4 linked regions of the Saccharomyces cerevisiae S288C genome follow. The gene in region 1 interacts genetically with each later gene. Each region holds a gene or a part of one and is shown on either strand. Other genes may lie near its edges.

What was found.
Region 2: mutations in FRQ1 (region 1) and STT4 together harm fitness more than expected from each alone (negative genetic interaction), as found in Saccharomyces cerevisiae (2 studies listed by BioGRID).
Region 3: mutations in FRQ1 (region 1) and ERG25 together harm fitness more than expected from each alone (negative genetic interaction), as found in Saccharomyces cerevisiae (2 studies listed by BioGRID).
Region 4: mutations in FRQ1 (region 1) and SEC7 together harm fitness more than expected from each alone (negative genetic interaction), as found in Saccharomyces cerevisiae (2 studies listed by BioGRID).

The regions. Positions count from the first base shown.
Region 1 is NC_001136.10:1,220,857-1,223,835, forward strand, and holds FRQ1 (frequenin), read left to right. Parts: upstream 1-1,902; coding exon 1,903-2,475; downstream 2,476-2,979. Other genes in the region: CTS2 (putative chitinase), read left to right, coding at 1-92; VPS74 (Vps74p), read right to left, coding at 256-1,293; PHO92 (mRNA-binding phosphate metabolism regulator), read right to left, coding at 2,618-2,979.
Region 2 is NC_001144.5:737,838-745,870, forward strand, and holds STT4 (1-phosphatidylinositol 4-kinase STT4), read right to left. Parts: upstream 6,027-8,033; coding exon 324-6,026; downstream 1-323. Other genes in the region: NEDD8-conjugating protein UBC12, read left to right, coding at 6,314-6,316, 6,451-7,014; chitin deacetylase CDA1, read left to right, coding at 7,783-8,033. UniProt on the Saccharomyces cerevisiae protein: Acts on phosphatidylinositol (PI) in the first committed step in the production of the second messenger inositol 1,4,5,-trisphosphate. STT4 functions in PKC1 protein kinase pathway.
Region 3 is NC_001139.9:608,935-612,011, forward strand, and holds ERG25 (methylsterol monooxygenase), read left to right. Parts: upstream 1-1,629; coding exon 1,630-2,559; downstream 2,560-3,077. Other genes in the region: septin SPR3, read left to right, coding at 1-167; ADE6 (phosphoribosylformylglycinamidine synthase), read right to left, coding at 2,955-3,077.
Region 4 is NC_001136.10:796,216-804,112, reverse strand, and holds the start of SEC7 (Arf family guanine nucleotide exchange factor SEC7), read left to right. Parts: upstream 1-1,890; coding exon 1,891-7,897. Other genes in the region: YDR170W-A (gag protein), read right to left, coding at 1-918. UniProt on the Saccharomyces cerevisiae protein: Guanine exchange factor that acts as an activator of ARF1 at the trans-Golgi network and is thus involved in vesicular budding and traffic between compartments of the Golgi apparatus.

The sequences.
Region 1 (2,979 bases):
ATGTGAGAGTTAAAAAATATTACTTGAATAAATATGGCGATGGCGGATTTTTATCTCCATATTTAAAGCATTTGGATTCAAGAAAGCAATGAATACGAATGTGGGCGTATATAATAACAAAAAGTTTGGTCTATTTATTATCCACTCCGTATATGTATATACATATATACAAATTTCGTTTATTAATGTTAGAGGCTTATAAAAAAAAGCTTGACTTTTCCTTATGTTTCAAAGAGAGGATTTTTGTTGTTATTTTCATAATAGCATATCCATTCTTGAAAAGACTTCAAATACACCAGCAATAACTTCCAATTGTAAATCATGACCAGGATTGTTTTCTATCTCTTCTTTAACTTCCTTGTTTAAATTAACGGAGACACCTAACTCAGTTTCCTTTTCTAAATCAAATGGGTATTGCGAAAATTGTGCCATTATTTCTTCAGCTCTACTAATTGCCTTATCTCTCTTCTCATATTCCAACGTAGTCAGGACATTCTCCAATACGTTTGCCCCATATGATCCACATATTAAAGCTAAAGTTCTAATGATTTTGAAAGATGTTGTCTCCGGAAAATATTCATTGTAACTTAATTCCATGTTCCTCGATACGAGTACAGAAAGTACTCTGCGCTTAATGGCTTCTTTGCAGCTGGCGTCTGCAATGGGGTGTGTCGCCATGTCAAACAAAAAGAAATTTTTCATTTCTGTTCTCAATACACCTTTATCGACCAAACCTTTTGCCAATCTTTCCCTTACTTGTTTCAATTGATAGTTGATCTTTAAAAGGTTCCATGTTTCACCACTTAAAAGATCAATCCAGTTAGAAATTGACAAAGGTTCGTCGTTTTTCATCAATTGCAAAGTTTCATCCAGTAAAACTTCCCCAGTTTTGGAACTGTCAATAACTTCAATCAACCTTTCGGAAAGATCGAACCTTTTCCTGGCGGAATCATCTAAGATTCTGATTTTACCTCTTAACGCTAATTCTATAATTATACAACCACGCAAAGCATATGAAATACTATCATTCCAAAACGACAAATATCCTTCTCTATCTCTTAAGCCCATCAATAAGACTTCTTCCATCAACGTTAACGTAGGGATATTGATGTTGTCTCTCAATTTCGATTCTTCTGGGTCATATGCAATCTTTTTGTTTGTTCCATTGTCATCATCCCCGTCAACAGCAATATTTGCGATTTTGTCTCCTTTGGTATTGTTAGCAGAAGAATGAATGGAGGAAGTATCTCCAGAATCCGCCCTATTGACTCTACGACGTTGTAAAGTAGACATGATTTTTGCTTTGTATTTTTTTAGATAGTTTTTGTTTGAATTCTTTTACGTTATCAGATCAAAAGTTGTAATGAAAATATAGCCAACAATGAAACTGCTAATTTAGCTCTATTTGTTAGCGTGGAAATTTGAAATTTATTTTTAATCTATAAATGCAGCAGCCCAAACCGAAACAAAAGAATAAGTGAGTTGAACAGAGTAAGCAACGGGCCGATATAGAACTGAAAAAGTCAACGTACCCAGAAAGCAATTAACTGCGACACAAATAGATGTCAATGTCCAAAAAGGATAGATAAACAAGATTACGATCCAAGGCAGGGATCTAATTGTTTTTAGGTAAATGCGTACCCATTAGCCTCTTTTTTTCAGTAGTAGTTGACTGCTCAGGAAGTAAAAAAATGAGCCAGAATTGATCATTAAAAACGAAAAAAGGGTAACTCTTCGGTGTATTTTTTATTATTATACCATAGAGTACTGAAATAATGTTTAATTTGTCAACGATTGAACTGATGAACTAGGGATATTACCTCCTGTTTTATAATTGTTGCTAGTTTAAGAATCGGCGAGAGTTATTTTGTGCTTGAAAACTGTTTTTGATTCAAAAAAAAAATGGGAGCCAAGACGTCAAAGCTTTCCAAAGATGACCTGACATGTTTGAAACAATCCACCTATTTTGATAGAAGAGAAATCCAGCAATGGCATAAAGGATTTTTGAGGGATTGCCCTAGTGGCCAACTAGCTAGGGAAGATTTTGTTAAGATATACAAACAGTTTTTTCCATTTGGTTCTCCTGAAGATTTTGCTAATCACCTTTTTACAGTTTTTGATAAAGACAACAATGGATTCATACATTTTGAAGAGTTTATCACAGTTTTGAGTACAACGTCCAGAGGAACTTTGGAGGAAAAACTGAGCTGGGCTTTCGAACTTTATGATTTGAACCATGATGGATATATTACATTTGATGAAATGCTAACCATTGTGGCGAGTGTTTATAAAATGATGGGGTCTATGGTTACACTTAATGAGGATGAGGCAACGCCCGAAATGAGGGTAAAGAAGATCTTCAAGTTGATGGATAAGAACGAAGATGGTTACATTACGCTGGACGAATTCAGAGAAGGTTCTAAAGTCGATCCCTCTATTATTGGTGCCTTAAACCTTTACGATGGCTTAATATGAAAACTTTGTTTTTGCTTCTTATGGATTGGATGTTATAACAGTAGAAGTAATTTTAGGATAATTTTAAATAAAAATAATATTAAAAATAATAATAATACTAATAATAAATGAGAATAAAATGTTGATAAATGAGGGATAAGGTCTATTCATACGTCTCATCCAAGAAGGAGAAAATATCAGAATCTTGAGTTTTAAATAGATTAATTATTGAAATTCCAATCGAATATGGAATTTCTTGAGTATCTCTGGAATGTGTTATCGGTTTCATTTCATTGGATGGTATCAAAAACCTTTTTAACGATCTGTTATTTATATCACGCACGATCACCCATCTTACTTTAAAGGCTTTGCCATATTTTTGTTCATCTTCCCATATACTGGTGTCCAAATCCATTTTCAAATCCGATACCATTTCTGCAACGCCACAGAATCTTCCTGATGTGTTGATTGAAAAAAATAAAAACACTTTGGCTCCCGAATTAAGCTTTTTATATGCCTCAGATA
Region 2 (8,033 bases), on another chromosome or scaffold:
GTCAGGACCTTTGCCGATTTCGGCGCCGAAATGCTCGAAAAACAAAGGGTATTGCCCGGCCCCGCGGACCTCCCTTTTGCGGCTCTCGGCCATTTTTTAGGTAATTTGACACCGTGCCCAAATGGCTTGGCACAATCGAGAATCAGGCACCCGCGTGTGACCGGCGTCATTCATTAAAGCCAGATAAGACAAAGTAAAATACAATGGATTATGATTAATACAATGATATACAAAAAGAGAGAAAATAAACGAAGGCTACGTCTGCGTAATTGACGATGGGAAACTGGTATTTTTATATAAGCATATGTAAAGTGCGAAGTATATCAGTACGGAATGCCATTTGTGAGCCTTTGGAATTCATCATAACCTTTAGTGAATATACTTTCATAACTTTTACGGATTAGCGCCTTCATATATAGTGCAGCTTCGTGATCGGTTTTTTGAGGTTGAAATCTTGCTCTTAGATTCCTAATTGTCTTGTGACCCTTAAAGCAGGGGAGACCGCTTCCTAACATAGGATTTACACACTCAATTATGGCCTCCACGTGCGGACGGGCGGCTAGATATGCCTTGATACAAAGTTCTTCAAAGTCCAGATACGCTGGGGTCTGGGGCGAACCTCCCATCACTTTAACCATTTCTTTCGTCAGCTTGAATGGTACTGCTTCAAACTTGATACCACCTGGGACAATATCAAAAATAAACCCAAAATCGATATGTAGACAATGTCCTTGATCATCGTACATAATGTTACCATTATGTCTATCCTTGAATTGCAACAAATACGAAATTACGCTATATCCCGCTAAGGATTTAACAAAGTTGTTTCGTGCGTTTTGAAATTCGATAGTAGATTCATTACCAAATTTACTAGTGAAATATTCATATAATCCATTAACAGCTTCACGTCCTAACATATCACGGGATACCGAATTGGGTAGCACATCGATGACACCACAACCCGGTGCCGTCGCAGTAACTCTGTAGGGAAAAACGTAGACATCCAAGCCAATACTAGACCAAATGGTTCTAAATAGCGAGATCAATTGTAACGCTAGAACATCTTGCCTACAGTCATCACCGACTTTGAAGATAGCAGCTTGCCATTTTTCAACTTCCTTGTTTTTACCTGTCAAAGGATCTTTTACGTCTTTCTTTATTTTAAAGGTCGCCATAAAAGGCGCCTTTGCGTGAGATTGAAGTGGCTTACCACTCTTCCGATCAATATCAATAACTACACCGTCAGGATTAGAAGGTAAATAAACATCAGGTTTCACCTCAATTTTGCTCATTTCTTCATCGATCTTATGTTTCTTTTCAGCCTTACTTTTTTTTATGTATGGTTTCAACTTACCAGATATGCCAGTTACTTCGTCGAAGAATTCAAATTCACGTTCGTAAAAATCGCGATGAGATTGGCTGAAACTTGAAACCATACGCTCCCTAATACGATCTAGAGTTGGTTTGATTTCATCTTCTTGTATACCTTCATCATCCTTGTAGCAGTTTGCAAGCATATTCCAGATTATTTGATGAGAAAATAACACACTAATTTTCGCAGTATCCAAAATCAATCTTTCGACATATCCGGTTTTATCGTATCTCAAACATTGTACGATTTGAGGAACATAGAAGAATGCCAAGTTCACATCTTGTGATTCCAACGAATATATGCTGAATTGTAAGATAAAAGAATTACCTTGCCATTCGGGAAGGAAAAGGTTGATAGATTTTAACGGGCTCACTGGCGCCCAGTATAAGGTTGCGTGTAGGTCTTTCTTACTGCTCAGGTGGCTTCCTTTTATGAACAGGTCAAGAGCACTTGGGGACCCCACACACATTAAAGCATGTTTTGCAACTAAGCCCACTAAAACATCCTCAGCTTTCTTGCTATAACATCGTTGTAAGAGATTTATTGCTAATGTTGGATCTTTAGCAAAGGTAGCTTCAACGATATCGCTTGTAAGCTCGTTGCTGTCGGCTCCTTCAATCTTCTCAGTCGGAGTAAGCCAGGTTTGAATCTGCTGGATTTCGCTTGCCAAGAAATAGTTCAGGATCTTGTAATCTTTCCCGCAATGACGTGACATTAGCGAGCTTAATTTGTTGAGCTGAAGGAAAAGGTCCCTAGTAACAGATAAATCTGCTTTGATTTTCAGCTCATTTGAGCCGAATGGCCACGCTACTGGTCTTTTAAACCAACTTAGGGCACCGTTTGTGATTTCTTGCGACAAACGGCCCATATACTTGGATCCCTGCTTATAACTTGCGTTTAGTACGAGAGTCGCGAATAACAATAATTCGTGGCGAATCATTCTAGCGAACGGGTGTAGTGAAGCCTTATACAGATTCTTGATACCATAAAGCGCACATTTCGTGAAAATTTTCAATAAAAAGTCACTTTGAAATAGTGTGCCCTCGAAATGGGAAGCAAAAAATTTAATAACATGAAGATGTGGTTGCATAGCTTGGGATGCATTTTTTGCATCTCTGTTGATACCTGCTTTGTCGTAAGGGGAATATTCCATTTTTTGGTATTCTTCGCCCTTTAAGTCATGATCGCGAGAATAGAGACCAATATTGTCATCAATGGAGCGCATCCAGCAATAGCATACTTCAACTAAAAGCAAATGTGCAACTTCGGGCTTCTCAGTTATGATTGTTAACCATACGTTTGTAGCAATCTTTAAAGATGCAGAGGTGAAGACTTCGAACGGGATGTGCACAATATCATATATCAATGACGCTGGTGCACCATTGCCAAGAATTAACAACGCGGTAGCCATATCAAGAAAATCAGTTACGTCTTTAGTTATAATCTTATTTCCTAAGGTCAAATTTTTTCTTATGTTTTGAGTGGAAATACCTATTTGCCTTTTGATATCCTCTGGTGATGATGTAATAGCGGTATCGAAAAGATATTTTGACCTCCAAGAATGTAAAGATATAAATCCAGAAATCGTGTTAGGTTTCTCTGGACCATAATAAGTAAGCCTTGATAATTCCTTATCTGCAGGTAAAATCAAACCAGCCATATCCATGGCAAATGAGACACCAAATTCAACAGAATTTAGCCTGCTGTACTCACCGAGATCTGATATGTATGATTGCAACAAAATCTTAGTATCCTGGTTGCTTCTATTCAATAGAATTCTTACCCATTCTTTAGCTGACTTGTGCAATCTTGATAGTGTCGTAGCGCGCCAGGACGATGAGCTTGGAACCAATATTGTTGTCTTAGAATGTTTTAATTTAAATTCATACCGTGGTTCAAATTTATGCGCCTCTGAGTCCAAGATACTATCAAATAGGGCTGTTAACATATCTAATAAGGTGTAGAGAGACAAATGATGACATAACGATGATGGAATAGATCTGATAAATATTTCACAGGCATGAAAAGCGGCATCCTGCAAAGTTGGTTCCCTATGAGAAAGGCAAAGTAGCAAGTTATTAAGTTGTTGAGCAATCATTTTGGAGTTGAATATGGCATCGTTACCCTTTTGAATCAACCTAGCATATTTTCTAATCATGGAAACCGACAAAACTGCAATACACTTCTCAATTGAACCGGAAAGAATGGAGGGGTCTGAGAAGTACAGTAGAGTCTTCGAACAATCACCTGCCTCGCATCTTATCGTTTCTAGAAGAACGGCAGCCGCTAAAAACATGATTTTAGACGATGAAGTTGTTCTGTACTGAACAATATTGGTATTGAAATATTCGGTTATCTGCTGTTTTTGTTGTTTGATATTTTCGTTAGATGAACCGCGGCGCAAAATTGTATTCATTTCCAATGAAAGCTCCTTGTTATTAGCAGGAAATTCAGAAGCCAGCGGTGGTGAATTATAGGCAATAGTTAATAAGAAAGAAAAATTTCGTTTGACAATAGGCCCGCCCAAGTGGTACCCATGGATGACAAAATTAAACCAGGCGTTCCTAAACTTGTTTGTAGTGACTTCATCCTTATTGATGTCCAATGGCGTATCGCCTGGAACAGGTAGTAGAGCGGCGAGGGGCTCTAAGTAGGTAGCGATTTGATCAGCAACACGGGAAATCTCCGTTTGAGGTCTGTGATGTTCCAATCGTTCTACTTCCCCACTGGCAATGATTGAGTCCAATAGATCATGAAGATACATGAAATATAAGTCACTTGAAAAATGCCTGGCCAACAATTCTTTTGATATCACACATTTCGCTTTAATAATATTTTTCAATAGTGCGCTATCATCAATTTTTGTTGCAATAACAGTTCTCGATTTGAAGAACTTTAGTAAAAGCGAAAATTCTGTCAGTGAAGTATTCGGAGCCAGTCTTGCCAAAGAATTCAAAATAACACCGTCTAATTCCTTTGACATAGAATTAACTTTTTGCGTAAGAATAGAGATAGTCAAAGCTGTTATGCTTTGGGTGTTATAGTATGAGGCGATTGTAGTCGTTGCAGCCACACAATTAGATATCAAAGAGGCATGGTATGTCATAGTAGCTCCACTATTGACATCATGGGAGGAAAGTTGGCCCACAGTTGTATTTCCGAGCAGAGCACCAGTGCCATCCAAACTGGCAGATGAATTTCGCAAGGGAAAGTAGTCTTTCTCAATATTTTTTCCAGATGTTATTGTTAATTGGCGCTCACGGAGCACCGGGACGGGCGATCCGTCCTCGGAAACAGCTAATAAGTTGTTCATGGAATAAATTGTACTCACAATTGCATCTTCATTTAGAGGGTATAACCCTGTGGTGAATATTTTTGCAACATCATTAACTGTTTCAGTCGTGATATGTGGAGACGCTACCAATAAAGGAAACATACGAATCAGAGTTAATGACAATTTTTCCGTGAAAAAATTCAGTAATGAGGCAGAAGCTACAATTGCTTTTATCAAAGATGGTGTAACGACATCAGATAAGAAAAATTTATCAATAGATTCAGAAACAACGTTTGTAAAACTTTCAAAAAGCTCGCTTTCTGTATCTTCTATAAACGGAATTAAACATAGCGTTTGTAGGTAGTGGGCTCGAGTATCAAAAGAAAATCTTGCACGGTTGTCTGTAGATAGGTCGAGAATATGTGACTCAGAACAAAATTGCAGGGAAATTTTACACATGTCTGTAAAAAACTGTTTATTGCTTCTTACGTTGAAAAAAAAGTCATCAATACACTTCGTATCATCGTTTTCATCGGCTACTTCTTGATCAAATTTGTAAAATTGGTATTGTTGATTTAGTAAGAACTCACTCAAGTTGGCGCCGACATGTGAAGTGTTTAACAGATGAGATATTAGCGAAACTTGCAAGCGAGATATTAATTCCAATAAGTAGGCACTGGATAGCTCATTTCCAGCATCGTAATACTGGACGATTGAATCATTGGTAAACGTTGCTGAGGAATTCAAAATCTTATCAACTTCGTTTAGAAATGATCCACGAAGCACAAGTTTCGCTAACTTTTTCCAGGTGAATTTAGTAAGCTCTGTAGAGTTGGGAAACTGGATAAATGCATTAATAAAGCCCACTAATGATAGTAGACCAGATTGTTTAATAGTAAAAATCTTTAATACACGCTCAAAATAAGTTGAAATGATGCCGCCTATATTTTCATAAAGAACGGGATACTGTTCACAAGCTTGAATCATAAACTTAGTCAGCTGGAAAGTTAGCAATTCAATCGGATTTCTCATCTGTTCCAACTTGAATTTCGAGGACAGAACATCTGAAATTCTTTGTCTTGGAGTTTCCAGAAAATAAGGCGCAATTATTTCTTTAAGCATTGTCTCTACCAGATCGAGCGTGGTAGGGATTGCAACACAAAGCGAAGTTAGTACTTCCCATTCACTCAATGTAAGTGGTATAGTATATATCTTTGACGTATTTGTGGAATAAAAAATAGGCAATGTATGAGTTATCAAATCTAATGTTGTACCATTACTGTTTTGATCATTTGGTGCACCCGTCGAAAGTTTAGTTAGTCTTCCAATAGCTTTCGCTCTTAAAGATGAAGAGGCTTTCAATCCTCTGGTAAATCTCATCTGCCTTAAACGAGTGGCGTTTTCGATTGCTGTAGTTATCTTTTTGTGATCTAATTTTTTTCTTGATTTACAATAGTTATTAATGTTGAATATGTTTTTTCCCACAACTCAAACATCTTCGCAGTATTCTTGAAAAAAAAAAATACTATTAACGTACCTTCATCCCTGCGCGTGCCGTTTGATGATATCAGCCAAAAGGTAAAATGAGATGAAAAAGGCCAATCATTCATAAATGTACTTAGAGACATTAAAGAATCAGTTAGAGAATATAAAACAAGATAATAAAAATGGTACGTAGATGCAACTATATCTTTCCGTTTCTCATTGGCGGTTTTTAGCGATCGAAAATACTAACATAATCTTTTTGGGGGGTGAGAATGTATATGTGTACTGGATATGTATATTCTTGGCTTTATTCAAATAGTTGAAATTACGCCAATTACAAAAGAAAAAGCAAAAAGAAAATGAAAACAGCAGTTCTATTCAGCCTAATTTATCGGCAGCAAGAATTCGTTTGAAAAGGGACCTTGATTCGCTGGACCTCCCACCAACAGTGACTTTGAATGTAATAACATCACCAGATAGTGCGGATAGATCACAATCGCCGAAATTGGAGGTAATTGTTAGGCCTGATGAAGGATATTATAATTATGGATCTATTAATTTCAATTTGGATTTTAACGAAGTTTATCCGATTGAACCACCAAAAGTTGTATGTTTGAAGAAGATCTTTCATCCAAATATCGATTTAAAGGGGAACGTTTGCCTAAATATTCTTCGAGAAGACTGGTCGCCAGCTCTAGATTTGCAGAGTATTATAACCGGGCTTCTTTTCTTGTTCTTGGAGCCTAATCCCAATGACCCGTTAAACAAGGATGCAGCAAAGTTACTGTGTGAGGGTGAGAAAGAATTTGCTGAAGCTGTGAGATTGACCATGTCTGGAGGTTCAATTGAACATGTCAAATATGATAACATAGTTTCTCCTTGAGTCAAGTTCAGAGTAATTTTCGGTTGATTTGATTATATATAAACAATAAAATTATAGATAATTGTGACATACTAGGCGAGTTGTCGCCTTGGTAACATCTTGCTACCGCCATCTTCTGTTAGTTTACGCCTTATGACCAACATTCCTTATATTCTCGTTCAAACTTTTGTCTCGATATTTTGCAGGTACCTGTAGAACTTAATGTGTTCTATTCAAAATAAGTATAAAATTTCTGGCCAGTAAAGGCAAACAAAACATAAAGATATTAATACGAAAAATTTCTTGAAGAAAACAAAAAATACTTCTTATAATAAAGAAACAGCGAAGCCATGGCTATTGACAAGATAATCAGGAAGGTGAGATACCCTGGATAGAAGACTAAGAGAGAGCAGGAAGTTGAAGAACGCAATCTCAGCTATCGCTAATTCTTACAAAAAATAAAGATATTACAACTATGGAAGAAAAAAATGAATGACTATACTAGTTAGTAATATTTAACAAGATAACGCTTTCTATTTTCTGTAAAAAAAATTCTGTCTCATGCACTTGGAAGCAGCTTCAACATTTCTCTTTTCCAGATGTCACATTTTCCGGACCGGCCGTCATTCAATCGCAATTAAAAGAGAAAAATACCAACAAGTGGGTTGATTTACTTTTGTGTTTTCAAAAAGACCAATAGTTCTAACAAAGTAGATGCTTAGAAGTAAGCAAAGTGGAATATAGAGAAACAAAATTAAGTGATAGATTTACTTTTACACAAGAAAAGAGATGAAAATTTTCAATACAATACAATCTGTGCTGTTCGCAGCATTTTTTCTAAAACAGGGAAATTGCCTTGCGTCAAATGGGAGTACCGCATTGATGGGGGAAGTAGATATGCAAACGCCCTTTCCAGAGTGGTTAACAGAATTTACTAATCTTACACAATGGCCTGGAATTGACCCACCTTATATTCCGCTAGATTACATAAATCTTACTGAAGTGCCAGAATTAGATAGGTACTATCCTGGCCAGTGTCC
Region 3 (3,077 bases), on another chromosome or scaffold:
TCATGGAACAAGAGAATTTTAACCAAGAGATTGAACAATTGAATCACAAGTTGGAAAACTTACAACTGGAATGTCAGGACTTGGAATACAAGCTGTTAATCGGAAAAAGTTCCAACAGCCATTCCACAGATAGTGCTACTTTAGTAAACGTTCACATCAAAAGGTAGTATTAATTAAAAAAAAAAAAAAGCCAATAATTTCGCGCAAGCTTTGCTCTACATAATAAAAATACAATTAGGATAGAAATGAATATTTTTTTAGCGGCAGTTTTACCATAAGTAGCAAAACCCTAACAATACAATGTGAGACTAAAGTAAATCCGGGTAATACAAAATACAATTTTTTTTTATTCTTCACAGCGTTTTTTCGACGGAGGAGGGAAAAAAAAAAATTGTATTTAAGGCATCAAATGCGCGACATCATATACCTTTGTCCGCTGTTATCATACCTTGAACCTCTACATTTCAGCCTAGCGCGCGCAAAAAGAAAAAAAAATCATAAGCAAGAGTGGTACGGTAACCACAAGGCAATGCAAAGAAGGGTGCGATATCAAGTGATGTTACCTTCCTTTACTTTTTGCCTTTTTCTTGAATTGTCAATCCGCCCTTTTTTTCTTTTCAGTTTTTTCTCCTTTCATCCGTCTCGTTTATCATAATGATGATTTCACTTATACCTATATGTTTTTTCTGGCATCTCTAATGTTAGGATGTGAAGTTTAAGTACTCTCCATTCAATGAATACAATTTTTGACAATATCTGATTTTACTATGATTAAACAGACCGAGGGAGAAAAAAAAAAGGAACTAAAAAAGGGCCTACGTAGAAGATGATGTAAAAGTAGATTCGCATCTGAGAATGTTTTCTTCAAATTTTTCTTTTCGGCCTTGGCGCAGAAGACTTTCTCTTCGTCCGCGTCGTATAGGAAACAAAAAAGTGTAAAAAGTAAAAATCGGTATATTACGCAATCCATTCGTTACCCGGTGTAGTCACGTGCGGGTGCGGAGGGCAGCCGTTTAAACCCGTTTGGGCCTTGGTCCGATAGAACCATCTCGCAGGAAAGAGCAGAGCCAGTTATCGGGTGTCGTTTACGCCCAGATGTCGTTTAGCCAGCTCCGCAACGGCCACTGCCACTACCACTGCCTCCCTTCGTATACGGGACACAGAGATCGTATACGGTAAACGACTAGCACTAGGACAATAGCAACTAACAATGACCGATAACAGTCAGCAACCTCAAGGCACCTGGCACAAAACCGTCGAGGAAGAGGCCCTTTGCCACCGTATCGCATCGCTTTCCCACCAATTTTTTTTTTCTTGCTTGCCTCGCCTCTGCTGTGGTCGTATTATTATTATTCATTCTCTGCGCAGTTTAAACTATATACACACGATTAATCCGTTATGCATGTACATTTTCTTGTATGCGTACGCCTGTGTATGCATACTTCTATATAATATATAATACAGGAGGATCTATTCTTTTTTTTCTTCTTCTCTTCTTCTCTCCCTTTTTTCTCTCTCTTCGTTTCTTTCCTTCCAGTAAATCTTTATATTAGTTGTAACTTTTTCTCTTTAGATAGTAGCATAGAGGACTAAGGAAAAGTAGTACAGCCATAAAAAAAAGAGGAAAAGATGTCTGCCGTTTTCAACAACGCTACCCTTTCAGGTCTAGTCCAAGCAAGCACCTACTCACAAACTTTGCAAAATGTCGCCCATTACCAACCTCAATTGAATTTCATGGAGAAATACTGGGCCGCATGGTACAGTTACATGAACAATGATGTTTTGGCCACCGGTCTAATGTTCTTTTTATTGCATGAATTTATGTATTTCTTTAGATGTTTGCCATGGTTCATCATCGACCAAATTCCATACTTTAGAAGATGGAAGTTACAACCAACTAAGATTCCAAGTGCTAAGGAACAACTATACTGTTTGAAATCCGTTCTTCTATCTCATTTCTTGGTCGAGGCCATCCCTATCTGGACCTTCCACCCAATGTGTGAAAAATTAGGTATTACTGTCGAAGTTCCATTCCCATCTTTGAAAACAATGGCTCTAGAAATTGGTCTATTCTTCGTCTTGGAAGATACATGGCATTACTGGGCTCACCGTCTATTCCACTACGGTGTCTTCTACAAGTACATTCACAAGCAACATCACAGATACGCTGCTCCATTCGGTCTTTCTGCTGAATATGCTCATCCTGCTGAAACTTTGTCTTTGGGTTTTGGTACCGTTGGTATGCCAATTCTTTACGTCATGTACACTGGTAAATTACACTTGTTCACTCTATGTGTATGGATCACCCTAAGATTATTCCAAGCTGTTGACTCTCATTCTGGTTATGACTTCCCATGGTCTTTGAACAAGATCATGCCATTCTGGGCTGGCGCTGAACACCACGATTTGCATCATCACTACTTTATTGGTAACTACGCTTCCTCTTTCAGATGGTGGGATTACTGTCTAGACACTGAATCTGGTCCAGAAGCTAAGGCCTCCAGAGAAGAAAGAATGAAGAAGAGAGCTGAAAACAATGCTCAAAAGAAGACTAACTAAGAGAAGAAACATACTTCAAAAAAAAAAAAAAGAAAAACAACAAAAAAACGTATAAAATGAAATAAATTTCGAACCGCTTTTTTTCCTTTTTTTTTTTTTTACTTTGTTTGACCTCCCCTAACTCTTTCTTTTTACCTTCACAATTGTTTATTTTAATATATGATTTTTAAATTAATTCAGGTTAATTCTAAAAACTATATTGCAATCTTTTAAATATATGTATACACGTTCATTACCACGTATACATATCCATATATATATATATATATATACATACTATTTATGATAAATTTTTAACAAGCAAACCCATTATTAAATGCTATAAATAAAAGACAGCTTCTTTCTAATTATTATTCAAACTTAAAAACTACATATACAAAAACTACAAAAATCTTTCAACCGACCCATCTTCTGGCAGATCTGAATAATCTAATCCATGGACCGTATCCACCCCACTCTTCGTATTTGCCCTCTGGATACCAGGAATTGGCCTCCAATCTGCAAACTCTTTCAGGATG
Region 4 (7,897 bases), 420 kb from region 1:
GTTATTGATAGGAATGCCATTGTTTTTTAGTCTGTCAAGAATGTTTGTGACTTCTGCTTCAAATGCATCTGCAGGTGTACTTCCATTATAATGCAAATTTGCTAGGGTCGTAATGTCATTTACCTCTTGAGTATCAGACTGCATTTTGTTAATGCTTTTGGAAAGAATTTTCATGATATCTGTATAATCAACAGATAAGATGTCTTTAACCCAGGTGGGTAAGAATTGAGATAGAGCAAATAGTTGAAAGGTGTGACATAAGAAGGTGAGTTCGTCATCAGTCATCTGACGTACGGCTTTTCTTGTTGCTGTCGGAATAATATCACCGAGATTCGAATTTTGTAAAAATTTGATGTATATTTTAACCCAATTTAGAAAGTCATTAGGTGAGGTTAAGATTGGCGGTGGTCTGACATGTTGATTAGTGGATGTCATATTAGACTTTGCTGAGGATGAATCAGGAAATGAATTACCTGACTCAGGTGACGGGGTGTTCAAATGTGTTCCAACATATTGTGGATATTGTGTAAACTGTGATTGTGCTCCAGGTGGAGCGTACATAGGTGACATTTGATAAGGTGGATACGGCATCAAAGATGGGTGCCCGTATACTGGCCAACCAGAAATATTGGCTTGTTGGGGAGTCATCATTCGCTGCTGTGGGTACGGCCCATTTTGTGGCAATGGTACTTGAGCAGCTTGAGGAGAGGCATGATGATGGTTCTCTGGAACAGCAGCTGAGGGAGGTGTTGTTGGCTGTTGAGAATTAGCCTGAGTGAAAACCTTCTCACATTCTTCTGTTTTGGAAGCTGAAATGTCTAACGGATCTTGAGTTGTTTGGACTTCTTTAGAAGTAACCGAAGCACAGGCGCTACCATGAGAAATGGGTGAATGTTGAGATAATTGTTGGGATTCCATTGTTGATAAAGGCTATAATATTAGGTATACAGAATATACTAGAAGTTCTCCTCGAGGGTCAGGAATCCCCATAATGGAATCTATATTTCTATATACCAATATTACGATTATTCCTCATTCTGTTTTATATGTTTCATTATCCTATTACATTATCAATCCTTGCACTTCAGCTTCCTCTAACTTCGATGACAGCTTCTCATAACTTATGTCATCATCTTAACACCGTATATGATAATATATTGATAATATAACTATTAGTTGATAGACGATAGTGGATTTTTATTCCAACACTATGTGTGTATTGTGTGTGCGTGTAATATAATCATTTCTAGTCATCTCTAGTCAAAGTAACTTATAAAAGCCTAAAAAAGGAGGATTTAACATGAATTGTCGGTCCTATAGTGTAGTGGTTATCACTTTCGGTTTTGATCCGGACAACCCCGGTTCGAATCCGGGTAGGACCTCTTTTTATTTTTACTCTAACAAATCAACATTGATATTTTTTGTTGATGTGTTAGAGTGGAGCCAACGATGCTCTTAAGATATACACTTTAGTACTTTTGAAGCTCTTACAGTTTTTTGATGTCGGAGAAGGCTTATACATATTGTTATTTTCCCTCTACAGGAAAGAAGGTGAACGTTTAGTTTTTATCAAGGCGCCGAGTAAATTTTATAATATCGAGGCGAGGGAAAAACAAAGCAACGAGAAAGGAAGCTCAAAGTTGGGATTTACATCATTTCTTTAAAAAGCATCATTGGCTTCTCTCCAATTGTTCAATAAACGCAGACTAATAGAAATTGAAGTCATTTTCCGGAGAAATATAAAATATTTTCTGCAACTAAGCTATACTCGATTTCTTTTAAGTTTCTCCAGAACCAATAAAAAGTAATATCTTAAACTGTTTCTTTCTCATTTTTTCCCCGAATTCCATTAAAGAAGATAAGAAACAAGTCTAAGTGCTACTATATCTGATGTCTGAACAGAATTCAGTAGTAAATGCTGAAAAAGGGGATGGCGAAATATCTTCAAATGTAGAGACTGCTTCTTCAGTCAATCCGTCTGTGAAACCACAGAATGCTATTAAAGAAGAAGCTAAAGAGACAAATGGTGAAGATCAAAAATGCAAAGGGCCAGAAAACGCTGGCAGTACGGCAGAAACAAAAGAAACAAGTAACGACGCTACCAACGGAATGAAAACGCCCGAAGAAACGGAAGATACAAATGACAAACGCCATGACGATGAAGGTGAAGATGGAGATGAAGATGAAGATGAAGATGAAGATGAAGATGAAGACAATGGGGACGAGGATGATGAGGACGTGGATAGCAGTAGTTCCGAAACCAGTTCCGAAGACGGGGAAGATTCTGAATCAGTCTCAGGGGAAAGTACTGAGAGTAGCTCTGGAGAAGATGAAGAATCTGATGAAAGCGATGGAAATACATCAAACAGCTCCTCTGGTGATGAAAGCGGGTCAGAAGAAGAAGAAGAAGAAGAAGAAGAAGAAGAAGAAGAGGAAAATGCTGGCGAACCAGCTATCGCTCATCAAGATAGTGTTCCCACCAACGATTCTACTGCCCCAAGGTCTACCCATACGAGGAACATATCACTATCTTCAAATGGTTCGAACACAAACTCAACCATAATTTTAGTGAAAACTACGTTGGAGACAATTTTAAATGATAAGGACATTAAAAAGAATTCGAATGCTCAGAAGGCTATCGAAAGGACATTACAAAAATTTAAGGAATTTGATCCGCAAACCACGAATAACCCACATTACGTGGATTCAATACTAGTATTCGAAGCACTAAGGGCAAGCTGTCGTACCAAATCCTCCAAAGTTCAAAGTTTGGCTTTAGATTGCCTGTCAAAATTGTTTTCTTTTAGATCGCTAGACGAGACCCTGTTAGTGAATCCACCCGATTCTTTAGCCTCTAATGATCAACGACAAGATGCTGCCGATGGAATAACGCCGCCTCCAAAACAAAAAATTATAGACGCTGCAATTGATACTATTTCAGACTGTTTTCAAGGTGAAGGCACTGATGACCGTGTGGAACTACAAATCGTTAGAGCTTTATCTAGTTGCATTTTAGAAGAGGATTCAAGTTCTTTATGCCACGGTGCTTCCTTGCTAAAGGCTATCAGAACAATCTACAACGTTTTCGTCTTTTCGTTGAACCCATCCAATCAAGGTATTGCACAGGCGACCTTGACACAAATTATTAGTTCGGTGTATGATAAAATCGATCTCAAACAAAGTACCTCTTCAGCAGTATCCTTATCGACAAAAAATCATCAACAACAATCCGCCATAGAACTTTCCGAGGCTTCTGAAAATGCAGAAACGCCGGCTCCTTTAACTCTGGAAAATATGGATAAGTTGAATGACGATGAGGAAAGACTAATGGACGCTCAACAGCCTGATTCTATCGCCATAACTAACCAAGATCTAGCTGTTAAAGATGCGTTCTTAGTGTTTAGAGTCATGGCGAAAATATGTGCTAAACCTTTGGAAACAGAACTCGACATGAGGTCACATGCCGTCAGGTCAAAGCTTTTATCTCTTCACATCATTTACTCTATTATCAAAGATCATATTGACGTATTCCTTTCCCACAACATTTTTCTACCAGGAAAGGAGCGTGTGTGCTTTATCGATTCAATTAGACAATATTTACGTCTTGTTTTATCAAGGAATGCTGCCTCGCCTCTAGCTCCAGTTTTCGAGGTTACTTTAGAAATTATGTGGCTATTGATTGCTAATTTGAGAGCAGATTTCGTGAAGGAAATTCCAGTTTTTTTAACAGAAATCTACTTCCCCATTTCAGAATTAACCACTTCCACCTCCCAACAAAAGAGATATTTTTTAAGTGTTATTCAACGAATTTGTAACGACCCAAGAACTTTAGTTGAATTTTACTTGAATTATGATTGTAACCCTGGAATGCCAAATGTAATGGAAATAACTGTTGATTATTTGACAAGATTGGCTTTAACTAGGGTGGAAATTACTCAGACTCAAAGATCATACTACGATGAACAAATATCAAAATCCCTGTCCACCTACAATTTCTCACAATTGCCCCTTTTGACTTCTTCCAACTTGTCTTCTAGTCCTGATGTTGGTCAAGTCAATTTACTTTTTCCACTTGATTTTGCTCTCAAAATGGTGTCACTAAATTGCATTGTGTCAGTTTTGCGTTCCTTAAGCTCATGGGCTCACAAAGCTTTAAATCCAAACACACACACTGCTAATAAGGTATTACTAAACACAACATCTTCAGCTCGTCAAGAATCTAGATCATCTTTGAGTAACGACGTAAGGTCTTCTATTATGACAAGTAATGATGACTTCAAACCAACATATGAAGACGAAGAAAGCAGATCATTGAGCAGTCAAAACATTGACGCAGACGACCCCACACAATTTGAAAATTTGAAACTAAGGAAAACTGCTTTATCGGAATGTATTGCTATTTTCAACAATAAACCCAAGAAAGCTATTCCAGTACTTATTAAAAAAGGATTTTTGAAAGATGATTCTCCAATTTCCATTGCCAAGTGGTTATTAGAAACAGAAGGCCTCGACATGGCCGCTGTTGGGGATTATCTAGGCGAAGGAGACGACAAGAACATCGCTATAATGCACGCATTTGTTGATGAGTTTGACTTCACTGGTATGTCCATTGTTGACGCATTAAGGTCATTTTTACAAAGTTTCAGATTGCCTGGAGAAGGTCAAAAAATTGACAGATTCATGCTGAAATTTGCGGAAAGATTTGTGGACCAAAACCCCGGAGTCTTTTCAAAGGCGGATACTGCATATGTGCTTTCGTATTCTTTGATCATGTTGAATACTGATTTACATTCGTCACAAATCAAAAATAAAATGTCTTTACAAGAGTTTTTAGAAAACAACGAAGGTATTGACAACGGAAGAGATTTACCAAGAGACTTCTTGGAAGGTTTGTTCAACGAAATTGCTAACAATGAAATCAAGTTAATTTCTGAACAGCATCAGGCAATGCTTTCAGGTGATACCAATCTTGTCCAACAACAGCAATCTGCTTTCAACTTCTTTAATTCTCGTGATTTGACAAGAGAGGCATATAATCAAGTCTCAAAAGAAATTTCATCTAAAACGGAATTAGTCTTTAAGAATTTAAACAAAAATAAAGGAGGCCCAGACGTCTATTATGCTGCTTCCCACGTTGAGCATGTTAAATCAATTTTCGAGACACTATGGATGTCCTTTTTAGCAGCTCTAACCCCCCCATTTAAGGATTATGATGACATTGACACAACCAATAAGTGTTTAGAAGGCTTGAAAATATCAATTAAAATTGCTTCTACTTTTAGAATCAATGATGCTAGAACCTCCTTTGTAGGTGCGTTAGTCCAATTTTGTAACCTTCAAAACCTTGAAGAAATCAAAGTTAAAAATGTCAATGCAATGGTAATTCTTCTTGAAGTCGCGTTATCAGAAGGAAATTACTTGGAGGGATCGTGGAAGGACATTTTGCTGGTCGTGTCTCAAATGGAAAGACTACAATTGATATCCAAAGGTATCGACAGAGATACGGTTCCAGATGTTGCACAAGCTCGTGTTGCAAACCCTAGAGTTTCTTACGAATCATCAAGATCCAATAATACATCTTTCTTTGATGTTTGGGGCAAGAAGGCAACTCCCACAGAATTGGCTCAAGAAAAACACCATAATCAAACCTTATCACCCGAAATCTCTAAATTCATTTCCTCCAGTGAATTAGTCGTTTTGATGGACAATATATTTACCAAAAGTTCCGAGTTATCAGGTAATGCTATCGTTGATTTTATCAAAGCTTTAACCGCTGTATCTTTAGAAGAAATTGAATCATCTGAAAATGCTTCCACACCAAGAATGTTTTCCTTGCAAAAAATGGTCGATGTATGTTACTACAATATGGATCGTATCAAACTAGAATGGACGCCGCTTTGGGCTGTTATGGGAAAAGCTTTCAACAAGATTGCTACAAACTCTAACTTAGCAGTAGTATTTTTCGCTATCGATTCCCTGCGTCAATTGTCTATGAGATTTTTAGATATTGAGGAATTATCAGGTTTTGAATTTCAACATGATTTTTTAAAACCTTTTGAATACACGGTTCAAAATAGTGGCAACACTGAAGTTCAAGAAATGATTATTGAGTGTTTTAGGAACTTCATATTGACAAAATCGGAAAGTATCAAATCTGGCTGGAAGCCTATTCTTGAATCCTTACAATATACGGCTCGCTCAAGCACTGAATCCATTGTATTAAAGACGCAATTGCTGGTTAGCAATGATATTGTGACAAATCACTTCGAAAACGTATTCTCTCAAGAAGATGCCTTTTCTGAGTTAGTTGGTGTCTTCAGAGAAATCACCAAAAATAAGAGATTCCAAAAGCTATCTCTACATGCTTTGGAGTCTCTAAGAAAGATGACTCAGAACGTCGCAGACATCTGTTTTTACAATGAAAATAAGACTGAAGAAGAAAGAAAACATAACGATGCTTTACTTCGTGGGAAAGACATATTCCAGGATGTGTGGTTCCCTATGTTATTCTGCTTCAATGATACGATCATGACAGCTGAAGACTTAGAAGTTAGATCACGTGCATTAAACTATATGTTCGATGCCCTAGTGGCATATGGTGGTAAATTCAATGATGATTTCTGGGAAAAGATTTGTAAGAAGTTACTATTTCCTATTTTCGGTGTATTATCCAAACATTGGGAAGTCAACCAATTCAATAGTCATGATGATTTAAGTGTTTGGCTTTCGACCACGTTAATTCAAGCCTTAAGGAACTTGATTGCCCTTTTTACGCATTACTTTGAATCGTTGAACAGAATGCTCGATGGATTTTTGGGTCTGCTGGTATCCTGTATTTGTCAAGAAAATGACACTATTGCTAGAATTGGGAGATCCTGCCTGCAACAATTGATATTGCAAAACGTATCTAAATTCAATGAGTACCATTGGAATCAAATAGGTGACGTATTCGATAAATTGTTTGATTTAACCACTGCTAATGAATTGTTCGATTATGATCCGTTACAGCAAGGAAGAAAATCATCTGTATCTCATCACCAAACAACTAATGATACCAGCCAACACTCAGATGATGATAGCAACGACAGAAGGGAGAACGATTCTAATATCAGTGAGACGGTCGAAAGAGCGCATCAAGAAGAATCCAGCGAAGACGTTGGTGGTGACATGGTTGAAACACTCAATGGGCAAACTAAGCTTAATAATGGCAATTCCGTTCCGACGGTAAAGGACGAATTGAATCCAAAGCCCGCTAGTCTAAGTATCCCCAAGAAAACTAAGCACATGAAACGAAACGAAAGTAACGAAGATATACGTAGGAGAATAAACATCAAGAATTCTATTGTTGTCAAATGTGTTTTACAGCTTTTGATGATAGAGCTGCTCAACGAATTATTCGAGAACGAAGATTTTGCCCACTGTATCCCTTACAAGGAAGCCATTAGAATTACAAGATTGTTGGAGAAATCGTACGAATTTTCTCGTGACTTTAATGAAGATTATGGGTTAAGAACAAGACTAGTAGAGGCTCGTGTAGTTGATAAAATACCAAACCTGTTGAAACAAGAAACGAGTGCTGCTGCAGTTCTCCTTGACATTATGTTTCAGTTGTATCTGAACGATGATGAGAAGAAGGCTGATTTAATAACTCGTCTGATCACCATTTGCATCCAGGTCGTAGAGGGTTATGTTTCTTTGGATGATAGAACCATGGAACGTAGTATCAATGCCTGGCGTTCAGTGATAGTTGAAATATTACAAGGTTACTACGAATTTGATGATGAAGACTTTAGACTATACTGTCCTGCTATGTATGCTCTGGTGATTCAAATATTAGATAAGAGCGTTCCAACGGAGTTGAGACATGCTATAAAACAATTTCTAAGCAGAGTTGGTG